Linked DNA regions of Saccharomyces cerevisiae S288C. The gene in region 4 interacts genetically with the main gene of each other region. Each region holds a gene or a part of one and is shown on either strand. Other genes may lie near its edges.

The links.
Region 1: mutations in FRM2 (region 4) and YOR012W together harm fitness more than expected from each alone (negative genetic interaction), as found in Saccharomyces cerevisiae (one large-scale study listed by BioGRID).
Region 2: mutations in FRM2 (region 4) and EAP1 together harm fitness less than expected from each alone (positive genetic interaction), as found in Saccharomyces cerevisiae (one large-scale study listed by BioGRID).
Region 3: mutations in FRM2 (region 4) and YPL257W together harm fitness less than expected from each alone (positive genetic interaction), as found in Saccharomyces cerevisiae (one large-scale study listed by BioGRID).

The regions. Positions count from the first base shown.
Region 1 is NC_001147.6:354,826-357,467, forward strand, and holds YOR012W (uncharacterized protein), read left to right. Parts: upstream 1-1,717; coding exon 1,718-2,131; downstream 2,132-2,642. Other genes in the region: YOR011W-A (uncharacterized protein), read left to right, coding at 827-1,033.
Region 2 is NC_001143.9:51,765-56,120, reverse strand, and holds EAP1 (Eap1p), read right to left. Parts: upstream 2,418-4,356; coding exon 519-2,417; downstream 1-518. Other genes in the region: phosphatidylinositol kinase-related protein kinase TOR2, read left to right, coding at 1-186; Ran GTPase-binding protein LOS1, read right to left, coding at 2,768-4,356. UniProt on the Saccharomyces cerevisiae protein: Can regulate translation through binding to eIF4E. Competes with eIF4G and p20 for binding to eIF4E in vivo and inhibits cap-dependent translation in vitro. Plays a role in cell growth and is implicated in the TOR signaling cascade.
Region 3 is NC_001148.4:61,477-64,366, reverse strand, and holds YPL257W (uncharacterized protein), read right to left. Parts: upstream 1,089-2,890; coding exon 507-1,088; downstream 1-506.
Region 4 is NC_001135.5:74,159-76,960, forward strand, and holds FRM2 (type II nitroreductase), read right to left. Parts: upstream 1,128-2,802; coding exon 546-1,127; downstream 1-545. Other genes in the region: amino acid transporter AGP1, read right to left, coding at 1,860-2,802. UniProt on the Saccharomyces cerevisiae protein: Type II nitroreductase, able to reduce 4-nitroquinoline N-oxide (4-NQO) into 4-aminoquinoline-N-oxide (4-AQO) via 4-hydroxyaminoquinoline (4-HAQO), using NADH as reductant. involved in the oxidative stress response.

The DNA.
Region 1 (2,642 bases), on a different chromosome or scaffold from region 4:
GGATAATGAATGACAACATAAAAAATAGAAGAAATAATAATAGTAACATTATGTGGAAATATGGGTTTCCTTGGCAGGTTCCTATATCCTTGAGAAAGAGCTTCTAATATATTTTGTATATTTAGTATTATAACTAAGCTGTTAGAAAATAAAATACCGCTAAATCAATTGAGGCGGTATTAAATACCTGTACATTTGAATATTTGGAATGAGAAAGAAATATAGTTACATAATGTACAAAAAAGAAGCAAGAAAGGAATATATATATATATATATATATATATATATATGTATATTGTTATTTAGAATATCTCTCTCTCTTCGAGAATCTCTATATCCTCGAAAAGAACTTTTAGCATATTCACGATAGGTCGTATTATCAATTAAATCAATTACGAAGTTCGGAAGTTATTGCCTACATAATATGATGTCCTGTTCATAAAAATAGAGCCCTAAGAAGTGTTATTAAATTTAACCAGCCTACAAATTAAATATAAAATGAGTGTTATTGTTCCACCGACTTGAATAATTGTACAACTTTAGCTAACATTTTAACTAATATTTTAACGCATCTTATTATCAAGTATTGTAACAATACGTATCATCTTACTATCTCAATGGAAGCATTCTCTTATACATACTGAGTCAAATATCTTGAAGACTCATTATAATGTGTAATAAAAGGACAAAGCAGCGTAGAAGCCTTAAATAACTATGCACTTGGACACATGTCTTCTCACGACGTGTTCAAATATAATGATTTTTCAATCAGCTTTGAAGTTCAATACAAACTTCTTCACTAAAGGATAATAAGCAATCATTATTAATGGCAAAATCGGTTTTCAATTTCTTTCATTTTGAAATATTGGAGTATTTAAACCGTTTTGTGTATCATTCACAATACTTTCTTCCATACTACTGCTCTCTTGAAGTTCTTGGGAAGAGCCGAAAAAATTGGACATTTCAATATTGGTGCTTATACATTACTACTGACAAGAAGATAATAAAAAAGAAAGATTTCTATCACCGATAGTGAGCTCTTTAGAAAACTGAACGCAATAAATTTTATGCCTCATAACGTCTTGGGGCGCGAGAATTTACTGACGTAAACAGATCCGGCTCAAAAAGTCGTCTTTACCTTTCTATCATCTCGTCGCATAATTATTAAATTAACTCACAATTTCTCACAATTTATATCATGCCTTTTTTGTCAGTTCGTGGCCTTGCCAGTGGAGATATAACAACTACTTCGTAAAGGGTCCCGAAAGAAATGAAAGAATTACTCATTTGATATAAAAATTTGCATGGTATAACAGAAGTGAAACGCGGGGACAACCATGATCTTTTTTGAGTAGGATAATTTTTTATGTCGGTTTGATATATTATAAAGCAAGTCATATATAATATCATACTGATTTTAACCAAACGATAATCAATCAGAAAAAGAAAATAAATAAAAAATCTAGCACATAGTATTTCAGTACCCTTATGGTTCTGACCTCAGAAATTATTCAGCCGCTTGTTATCTTATAGTACGTTTTATATCGTAATTTTCCTGACATTTTGGGCAGAAATCCTTTACTCCTGATATAATAAACGACGTTTTTTTTCCTGTGTTTTTTATGTTACTATAAGAAATGCAAAAAAAGAAACAATAGAAAAAGGCAGTGACAAAAATACTAATCAGAACGTTGAAAACAAATCAATAGTTTTGATAATGGTAGCATCATCGATCAATGAAGAATCCTCTTTGGCGGTAAACTTGACAAGCGATGTAGAGAAGGCTTCGAAAACTTTGTTTAAGGCATTCGAAAAGTCATACGCAAATGACTACTTGATGAAAAAGTTCTTCCATATCCCAATCACTGAAAAAGTTTCAAGGGCAAGAATAAATGCAATGATACATTACTACACGACGTGCTACCATGACTTGGATGGTGAAATTGCTGAGGCAAATGATTTCGATGCAGTCGCAATATGGAGCCGCCCTGGGTGCCACTTGCCTGCTACACTATCTGACGACGAGTCTTTCAATAAGATTTTTTTTTCACGACTTGACTGTGAGGAAGCACGAAGTCATGCCTCTGGGAATGGACTATTACTACCTTTATGCCATCGGAAAAGATCCTAGCCATCCCGAAATTAGAGGTTCAGTCAGAAAAATACTCGAAAAATATAAAACCAAAGCAGACAAGGCCAATTGCGCCCTTGCTCTCGAGGCTATTTCGGAGCACGCAAGATCTGTGTACGAATATTTCGGTTTCAAAACCTATTTGGTGTTTCAGTTCGGGGTTGGAGAAGTGAACTCCAAAGGAGAACCCGATCCGCAGGGGAAGGGATTCACGGCCTACTTGATGCTCTACCACAAAGATGCAGACACCATCTTTCACGCCTGATTTTCTTCTAAAAATTTTATAGACATTTATTGTATGTATGGAGCATATAGCAACAATAAAACTTAGACCAACATTTTTTGCCGGGTCACAACCCCCTATCCCGGCTGCGAGAAAGGAAAAAAAAAAGTATCAGACAATTGATTATCAAAGAGTATGTGAAACTACGCTTTGTTTTCCACTTCAATTGGTAGGCATGTCAATACGTCTCGTTTCTTCATTGGAAAACTCTTCATTTCAAGGATAAAC
Region 2 (4,356 bases), on a different chromosome or scaffold from region 4:
AAGAATGCCATTCGAAATGCAAGGGCCATGTTGGTATTGAAGCGCATTACTGACAAATTAACGGGGAACGATATAAGAAGGTTTAATGACTTGGACGTTCCAGAACAAGTGGATAAACTAATCCAACAAGCCACATCAGTGGAAAACCTATGCCAACATTATATCGGTTGGTGTCCATTCTGGTAGTTTTAATGTATTGAAAATCACTTAGTTGTATATAGCCTGTAAAAGTGTTGTATAAAAATGCATCTCATTCATTAATGTTTAGTTCCGAGCGTGACGTTACTAACTGCGAAAAAAGTTCCTTCGACTAGTAAATATCAAAGGCGAAAACATAAGTATATGGGAGAATTATAACAAGTTAAGTGATGATGATAGGATAAGATAATATAGGATACATGTTATATACAAACTCTAGATAATAAAGATGAAAAATGAAAAGGAAAAGAACATGCTTTTAGATAGTATGTTCACTGTGTTTTTGTCGTTTCCTGTCAAGTACTCGCTCGTTACGCATCTCATTTTATATTCTTTTTAGAGTTTAATCCTGGTGGTAACTGGTTTGTAACATTTTTGCCATTGGCATTAATAATAGATGGAATTGGCATAGGGGAGTTACTACCAAAACCTTGCTGGAAATTAGGGGGGAAATTTCCTTGTAGCATCATATTTGGATAAGGTGGCTGTGGCTGTTGTCCTGTTACCGGTAACATACCATTTGGTGGGATTGGGAACCCCTGTGGTAATGGTGGCATTGGGCCGTTAGGAAAGTTAGGATGCATTGGAAAAAACCCTGGAGGTGGGGGTGGTGGCATGTATTGCTGTTGAGGCAGATCTGGCGTTGCTGTTTCCTCTTGTTTTCCCTTGCTATTTCTTGTTCCGTTTGGATTTTTATTTTGCCTTAATTGCCTGTCTTCCTTCTTATTTACATCTTTAGAATCTTTCTGGAATTGAACGAGACCTGGTGGCGGTGGCATCATGCGTTGTGGAAAATTTGGTGGTACACCCATCACAGGAAATTGTGGACCCTGATGAGCAATTAGTCCTGGGGGTGGAGGAGGAGGAGTACTAGTTTCACTTTTACCTTTATTCAATAGCCCATTGAAAAATGCGTTGTTATTAGGAGGATGCTGGGTAAATGCCATTGGTTGCATTTGTTGCGGTTGCTGCTGGAATTGCGGAAGAGTCTGCATCTTTCCATTATCTTTGTCTGAGGCTGATAACAACTGCGATTCTGCATTTGGAGTGCTCGATCTAGATTCTTTGAAAAACGACATCAGTCTTGAACCACTTTGATGAGGTGTACTGTTGCCATCGTTGTTTACTACAGACACGTTTGACGATGGCACTTGATTATTATTATCTAATGAAGGCAACGAAGTGGCAGATTTATTGAAAAATGATGAAAACCGAGATGATGAACTTTTACCCAAATCTGAATTAGTTTCTAATTCGTTAACTTGTTCTATACTGGTTTTGGATAGGCTTGGCTGTCCAACAGGAATACCAGGTGTTTGTTGTGAAGATTCTTCCTTCTTATCTTGCCTCTTTAAATTCAAAAAATCTGTTATTGAACTAGGGCCCCTTGGAATGACCGGTCTTAAATCGGTGGGTGTTTCATGAGAGGCGCTTTCCCTGGGAGCAATTGCGGTAGAGTTACTGATTCCTTTAGATTTTGAAAGTTTTTTCAATTCTAATTCTTTCATCTTTGCCTTCCAATCTTCAAAATCTGCAATTGAATGGCCGACGTCACCTCCTAATTGAAGATTCTTGTCCATCTCCAGCATTTCTTGGTCAATCTTTTTTTCTTCATCATCTTGTTGAGATCTTCGTTTGCCTCCCTGCATGTTTTTGGTTCTACTCATTCTTCTCTCATCGTTTTTCCCATTCTTGTAACCAGCCTTCCAACTGCCTCCACCATTGTTCCCATTAAAATGATGGTTATTAGCATGCTTTTGATCTGGAGGTCCCATGCGCAATCGCCAAAACTTTCTTTTGGGTAAACTCCTCACAAGTTCCGAAATAAGTGGGTCTTCTTCGTACGAAGCACTTGCCAAAGATGGTTTCAAATGATAAAGTTCATTCATGGAGTATGCATATGTCTTGTATTGCAGATCCATTGGTTTGTAGTTCGTTATAGGGTCCGTCAAACTGCTGAAATTTAGCATGGCCGTTTTCTTATTTTTTTTTTTATTGCTTTCTTTATTGTTACCGCTCGTAGCAACAGAAATGTTAGAGCTATCAGTTGAAGATTCTACGCTACCGATTGGCTTCTCTTCTCTGCCCTTTTTGGCTAATTTTTGGAATAAATTTGAGATGGCTTGTTGCGATTTGTGAGTAGCGGCTGCAGTATCGCTGTCAGACAATTCACCTGAAAACTGGCTGCTTGATATAATTGAAGGGTCGTTGAGTTCCATTGTATGGGTTAAAGTCCTACTATGCTAGTTCTTTGTGTAGCTTAGAGACTGAAACATTCATATACTCTAATATCTCACCTGATCCTTTTTGAACCTTCCAACGATTTCTTTGAAATTAAAAAAACTAAACGTTTGTCATTCTTTACGTAATACATAGAAGTAATGGTATGTCACGTATAAATAATAGATAAAGAAGCACTTTTAGTGCCATTACATGACTAGCTGCTAAACCAAAGTGAATGATAAGTCTAATTACATATTACCAATTTAAATATTAGTATAAATATAATTACAACTTTTACTCTCGTTTTGCATTTTTTTTTTATTTTCAGGTTTTCTGCGCCTGAAAGCTATTGACCTTGCTTTAAAACAGAAATGAAATTATCTACAAACCATTTTTCGAATTGCTTTTGACCCATTGTGGTTAACATATTAACCAACTGAATCGTCAATTCCTGTGGTAATTGGATTTGTGGAAGGTAGATCTGAGTTAAATATTTTACACATTCATTCTCATTTGTGGTGGGGTTGCTGCTGACGATAAATAGCTCCCTCAGTAATCTTGCCAAATCATATGCCATTGTTTTGAAATTCCCTTCTTTGATATTGAACTTGTATATTGGATTGAACGGAATTTCAAAGATTATTGGGACACATTTCATGATGAAGTATTCGTTGAGACCATCTATTTTAAGGTTGGGATCTTTATTGATGTCGTCATTATCCAAGCAGGTCCCATTCCCAAAACATTTGATAAAATTGCACAATACATTGAGTGACACTTTCATCATTGATGTTTCCTGGATCTCTTGCGGCGTATAGGTGACCAAATCGTTTAATATGACCGGCAGGATTGCTCTGTTTATATCTGACAATAGTATCGAAGTGACGGAATTATTAGTAAATGACTGTAAAAATGTGCAGTAAGCCTTTTTCAATAGTATTTTATCTCTATACGAATCGGTGACCACGATATTCTTATTTACGGAGGTGGCTGTGACTGCAGTGTCTATAGGTTTGTTACTGCTTGATTGTTGGTCGTGTTGTTCATCAATCTCTTCGATAATAGAATGGACTTTGTTGATAAGCGGAGTAAGTAACTGGTTAAACAGCTGATAACAGTCTGTGTCCGTGTGAAACATATGAATCAGTTGAGATAAGAACCCAAGAAAATCAATCATCTCCCATGATTTTAAATCTGTGGACGATAAGATCAATTCAATCAATTTATTGATAAATGGTAAAATTTTATTACTTAAAATTGGAATTAACCTGGCAAAGGTAAACCTAGATGCATCGCGGATATTTTCGAACTTATTGAAAAAAGAGAATGTTACTAATATAACCTCAGCTATATTAGAGAATTTATGGATTAAAGAGTCATTGATTAATTTTTTGTTGACAACCATATTGTTGACCTGATTCTCAGGGACGAGACCAATGTGCAAACCTCTCGCTAAAGTACCAATAGCCATAAGAATGTGATGACATTCCAGAATCACAACTGGCGAAGCTCCTTGGGTAATACAACCCTCTAATTGTGTAAATAGCGGAGTTAATATCTGGTCCAATATATCGTAATCGATGGGGGTGTTGGCAGTGGCAGCAGTGAGCTCCTGACTGCTATTATTCAATGTGATTATAAACCCAATACCCTCAAATATGTACAACTGATTATCAAAAATTGTATCATTGTCATCCGTCCCTTGGGCGTTGATAGATGTTACTTTTATGTGAAGTAGAGGACTTATCTTATTAGTTATTTCATTAACCAAATTTTTGTTGGCAAAGAGGATTTTTTTCAAATTGATTCTTGTCAACTTCAAGAATCTTGTAAATAAATACCATGACCTTAGTCTGACGTTTTCTCTTTTATTGAACATAGCAAATGAGCTCATGAAAATATTCAATATTAATAGATACTTTTCATCATCATCAG
Region 3 (2,890 bases), on a different chromosome or scaffold from region 4:
TGTTTTCAAAGAAACCCCATCTAGATGATATTAACTACCCATTCTCTATACACCGGGCATCAGTCAAGATAGTGACGATTTGCTGTATGTTAAGCTAAACTATGATTCTCCCTTGAGAAACCACTTGAAATGTTATCCGCAGCGGTTTATTTGAGAAGCATGGCCAGACAAATACAGAAGAAGGGTAGCAGTTAATCTAAACCTGATGCCCACAAAGCGTTTCAGTTCTCTAAACAACAGGAAACTGCGATTAATATTACTATTATTCATTTCTGCCTTTGTACTATGACCGATACACTCAACCGGCGAAAAGTGGAACTTGAGAATTGATGTCTTCATCTTATTATAGGTATTTTATGTCACGTACGGTTTTCAAAATTTGTCATGCGTATTCTTTTTTTACCACTGATTTATGCCATTATCTACTATGAGTAAAATTTTAAAAGGTACAGTGTGTATTCTGGTTGAATTTGCTGCGTACTTCTTACCTTTCGACTACCATTCCATTAAGCGGTGTCAAGATTATTTAAACCTTCGTCGCGAATCTCGATAGCGGCTTTCTGTGAAAGATATATTTCAAAAGTGAATGCAATTGCTACATTGACCAATGCAATGGCGATATCTAATATAATAAGTTGCAATAACATTTGAAAAACATTACCTTTTCGAAAAATCAACTGAACTAACCAAATTAAAACTGTCAAAACCGTATATGCAAGGAAAAATACCAACCATAACGCACATGTAAATTTCTTGGGGTGTCTTTTCTTAAAACTTAAAAGGTGATAGTTTATATTCGAGTACATTGGAGGTTGACCCATTTCTTGAGTTCTGTATGCTCTTTCCCCCCATATCAGAAACCATCCAATGGAAACAAACGCCGCATACATAAAAGTAACTATATCAGCTAAAATTGGCTTATCAGTAAATATTGAATGCTTATACAATATGTGCTCCGGAGTGAATGAGCTTTTTGTAATTGCAATAAAGAAAAGAACTCGGCAGAGCTTGTCATACTTCGATTCCGAACTTGAACCCCTAGCACTAGGGGATACATCGCTAATCCTTTCATTTGCATGAGCTGTCATACTACAACTTTTCAAAAGTATATGATACTACCAAGGGGAAAAAAAAAATAAATGGTGATCTGTATACTATACTTGATAGCAGTCTGCTTGTTGTTTAAGGAAGCGCCTTTATCTCCAATTTGTCTAGTGTTTCCAAATCAACGGTGAAAAAAATCTCGTATGAAGTCCAACACAGGCAGTGGAGTTTTCTCCAAAAGAAATTGTAAAAAACGTATACAGTATTCATTGTTGGTATATATGTTATGCGTTTTGTTGAAATGAAACTCTAAAATTGAGATGTGGGTGAATTTTTAGATAATTGTTGGGATTCCATTGTTGATAAAGGCTATAATATCATGTATACAGAGTATACTCGAAGCTCTCCTCGGCGGTATGGGAATCCTCAAAATAAAATCGAAATTTCTATATACCAATATTACGATTATTCCTCATTCCGTTTTATATGTTTGATTATCCTATTACATTATCAATCCTTGCACTTTAGCTTCCTCTAACTTCGATGGGCAGCTTCTCATAACTTATGTCATCATCTAACACCGTATATGATAATATATTGATTGTAGAGCATGTGGATTTTGATGTAATTGTTGGGATTCCATTGTGATTAAGGCTATAATATTAGGTATGTAGATATACTAGAAGTTCTCCTCGAGGATTTAGGAATCCATAAAAGGGAATCTGCAATTCTACACAATTCTATAAATATTATTATCATCATTTTATATGTTAATATTCATTGATCCTATTACATTATCAATCCTTGCGTTTCAGCTTCCACTAATTTAGATGACTATTTCTCATCATTTACGTCATCTTCTAACACCGTATATGATAATATACTAGTAACGTAAATACTAGTTAGTAGATGATAGTTGATTTTTATTCCAACATTGATAGTATAACTGAGAAATGGGTGAATGTTGAGATAATTGTTGGGATTCCATTGTTGATAAAGGCTATAATATTAGGTATACAGAATATACTAGAAGTTCTCCTCGAGGATATAGGAATCCTCAAAATGGAATCTATATTTCTACATACTAATATTACGATTATTCCTCATTCCGTTTTATATGTTTATATTCATTGATCCTATTACATTATCAATCCTTGCGTTTCAGCTTCCACTAATTTAGATGACTATTTCTCATCATTTGCGTCATCTTCTAACACCGTATATGATAATATACTAGTAATGTAAATACTAGTTAGTAGATGATAGTTGATTTCTATTCCAACATACCACCCATAATGTAATAGATCTAATGAATCCATTTGTTAGTTAATAGTTTAAATGTTTTTATCGGAAGAGGTTTTGTCATCACATCAGCAATGTTCTTCTTGGTCTCGATGTAGTATACGTATAAATTATTACCTGATACTTCATCTCTAAGTCTCATTGCCTTTGTGCCAAAAAATCTGTTTCTAAATTTCTCTTCATTTGTAGACTTAATTATACTGATCGTTGATCTACTATCAGTAAGTAAGCCTTTAATAATTGGTTTCTTGTTAAGTTCTTGTATCAGGTAACTTAGATTATTTAATAATGGGACAGATTCACTTATCGCGTGTATTTCTGCTTCCGTAGTTGAAGTACATGTTAATGAAGCCTTGGTGGACTTTCCTCCAATTACCTTTCCATTAAGTAAATATATGTTGCCAATTTGTGATTTATAATACGGTTGGTTGCCATACGAAGCATCACTTATTGCGACTAGTTTATTATCTGGCTCGGTAGGTTTGTTTTTGTGCCATATCAGTTGTTTATCTCTAGTGTCCCACATGAATTGTATCAACTCATA
Region 4 (2,802 bases):
TTCTTTACGTAATTTTCACGTAAAACGCCACAGTCCGATTTTTCTCGAATAATCATTAGTAAAAGCGGTATACTGGATTATTGTACGATAACAAGGTAGAGCTTTATTACTAAGCTAAGACGTTCTTACATCAATAGTGCTGTTCGTTATTGATGTTAGGAGAAGGAGCGGGTCTGGTGAATAGTGTAAGCAGTGTTTCTGAACTTTTTCTTCGTCTAAGTCCTTGTAATGTAAGGTAAGAATGCAAGCATCTTGTTTGTAACGCGATTGTACGTTGACGTTAGTAAGTCACAAACCCAAGCTTAACTTCTTCGTGAGGAAGGAAAGTGTTGTCTCCTACTTTTTTCAAATTTTCGAATTGTATTTATATTTATTTAGTACTTCTTGAGTTTACATATCCTTCGTAAAAATGCAACTTTTGTCGAAAAACACTTCCAAAAAAAAATAATAATGAATTTATGAAGCATACTAACGAGCGAGCACATCGCTGAGGTATCATTACTTCATGAGATAAATTAAGATCTCCTCATATGCGAATTTCCTGTTCAGTGATAAACGTTGATTACGTTATTGATAAAAGTCTTTTCTTCTGGCAAGGCAGTTGGAACACCAAAGACCAATTGAGATTGTACAGTCCACGCAATAGGAACATCTTGAGGCAAAGCAGATTTGACGTAGTCATTATAGTGTTGCAAATTAGCCCCCAATCCCAATAGTTCGAGGGCAGTCCAAGACTGAATTTGCACAGCACCGGTCGTATGAGCGGCGCATGTTGGGAAAGCGGCTGCCAAGGCTGGAAAATCTCTTTGCAGTTTTTCAGTTGGTCCTTCATCAGTGAAGAAAATGACTGAACCGTAAGCCTCATCTCTGCAAGACTCTGGTCTCTTCTTGGCTTCAGCAGTTGGCATTGCGCTCGCAACAGCATCCCATATCCTTTTGTGTGTATCACCAACGATAATGACAGCGCGATTCACTTGTGAGTTAAAAGCTGTTGGCGTATTCTTGAGAATAACGTGTACAGTTCTCTTTACATCATCCAAACCGACACCTTGTGGTAATTCGGGCTTCAAATTGTAGATGGTACGACGGTTTGTAATAGCGTTTAAGTAGTTTCCAGTTGGGGACATTTCTTTGGCTTGGAGGTCTGGTGTTCTTGATTTTGATGGTGTATATAGCTTTAAAAAACCAAAAATGATCAACCTTTATATCTCTCTTCGATCACAACATGGGTGGAGACAAACACAAAGTAGTGATGACCCACTCAGGTGTTAAAGTGTGTCATATCTGCAAATGACACTGTATTTTTTTTTCCTTTGCCATTTATTGTCGCAGTAAGGAAAAGCGCAGAGCAAAGCTGACAAATTGAAAAATTATTCGGAAGAGCATTGACAAATATTGATTAATAATCAAGTAACACTCGCAGACATTGTTATTTCAGAAGTAAAAATATCGCAGAACAAGTTGGTTAAACTGAATGCTTCAGTCATTCTAATGCTAATTACACCTTAACAAAATTAAAAATTCTTAACGTAGATTTTTAAAAAAGGCAAGAAGATCGTTCCTGATGCACGACGAAAACGGTTGCACCCCTACTAAGGCAAAATTGCATATGCGGATGAAATCAAACCTCTTCTGTTGCATTAAGAACAAAAGGAAATCATTTTTCTCTCACTTCATATTATTTCACTTATATTTTCCTCTCCACTTCCATCACGCAATCGTTAGTGCTTTTTATTTTTTTTCTTCGCTCATAAAGGACTAGAATTAAAATGAAAATCGTCTATCATTACACGTATGCTATTACTACAAAACAGAAGTACAAAAATGAATAAATATAAAAGAAGTAAATGCTTTTTTTTTTAACACCAGAAGGCAACGACCCTTTTCCAATAAGGTCCGTTCCTCAAACGTTCCCTATATTCTTCGTCTTCTTGCTTGATTAATTCTTCATCAAAGATTTGTCTATGAGAATCTAGGTCGATCTTGTCTGCCCTGATGAACAGTTTCCAATCCTTGTGCCAGACCTTGTAGCCGACATAAAGTGCAATCAAGATTGGCATAGCCAAGTAGTTTTCGAAAAAGGCTTGTGCATCCAGCTTACCTTCACCAATGGGGGCGATAGCGACCCAAAATTGGGCAATAAGAATTAAAATCATCATAATGCAAGCGTAGGCAGATCCCCAAACACCAGTTTGAGATTTGAAACCCAATTCTCCAAGAGATCTCCCTTGGACTTTCATGGCTCTTCTAAATCTAAGATGGGATAAACAAATGGCAGTCCATGTGAAAAGCTGAGACAAACCAGAAATGGCCAATAACCAAGTGAAAACTTGTTCTTCCTTGGGAGATGCAGCACAGAAGGCAATAACGGCAAACAATGCAGAAACACCCATGGCAATCAATGGTCTACCGGCTCTGTCGATGTAGGAGAAAACCTTAGGAGCGTAACCTTGCTCGGATAGAGTTAAAAATAAACGAGCACTGGAGTAGAAGGAGGAGTTAGCCATGGACAGCACGGAAAGTAGAATAACGGCGTTAATGAAGTGTGGGACGACACGGACACCGTGGGATGCAACAGCAATGACATATGGCGAGGCTTTAGTACCACCACCGGTAGAACCCAATAATTGATCGGAATTGTATGGCACCAAGAAACCCAGTAGAATAATGGTAGCCAAGAATAGGAATAAGATTCTGTAGATCATTTGTTTGGCCGCACCTGGAATGGCCTTTCTTGGATTAGATTGTTCTGCAGTGGTGATGGCAATAAACTCTGAACCACCAAAGGCAAAAGCAGCAGTC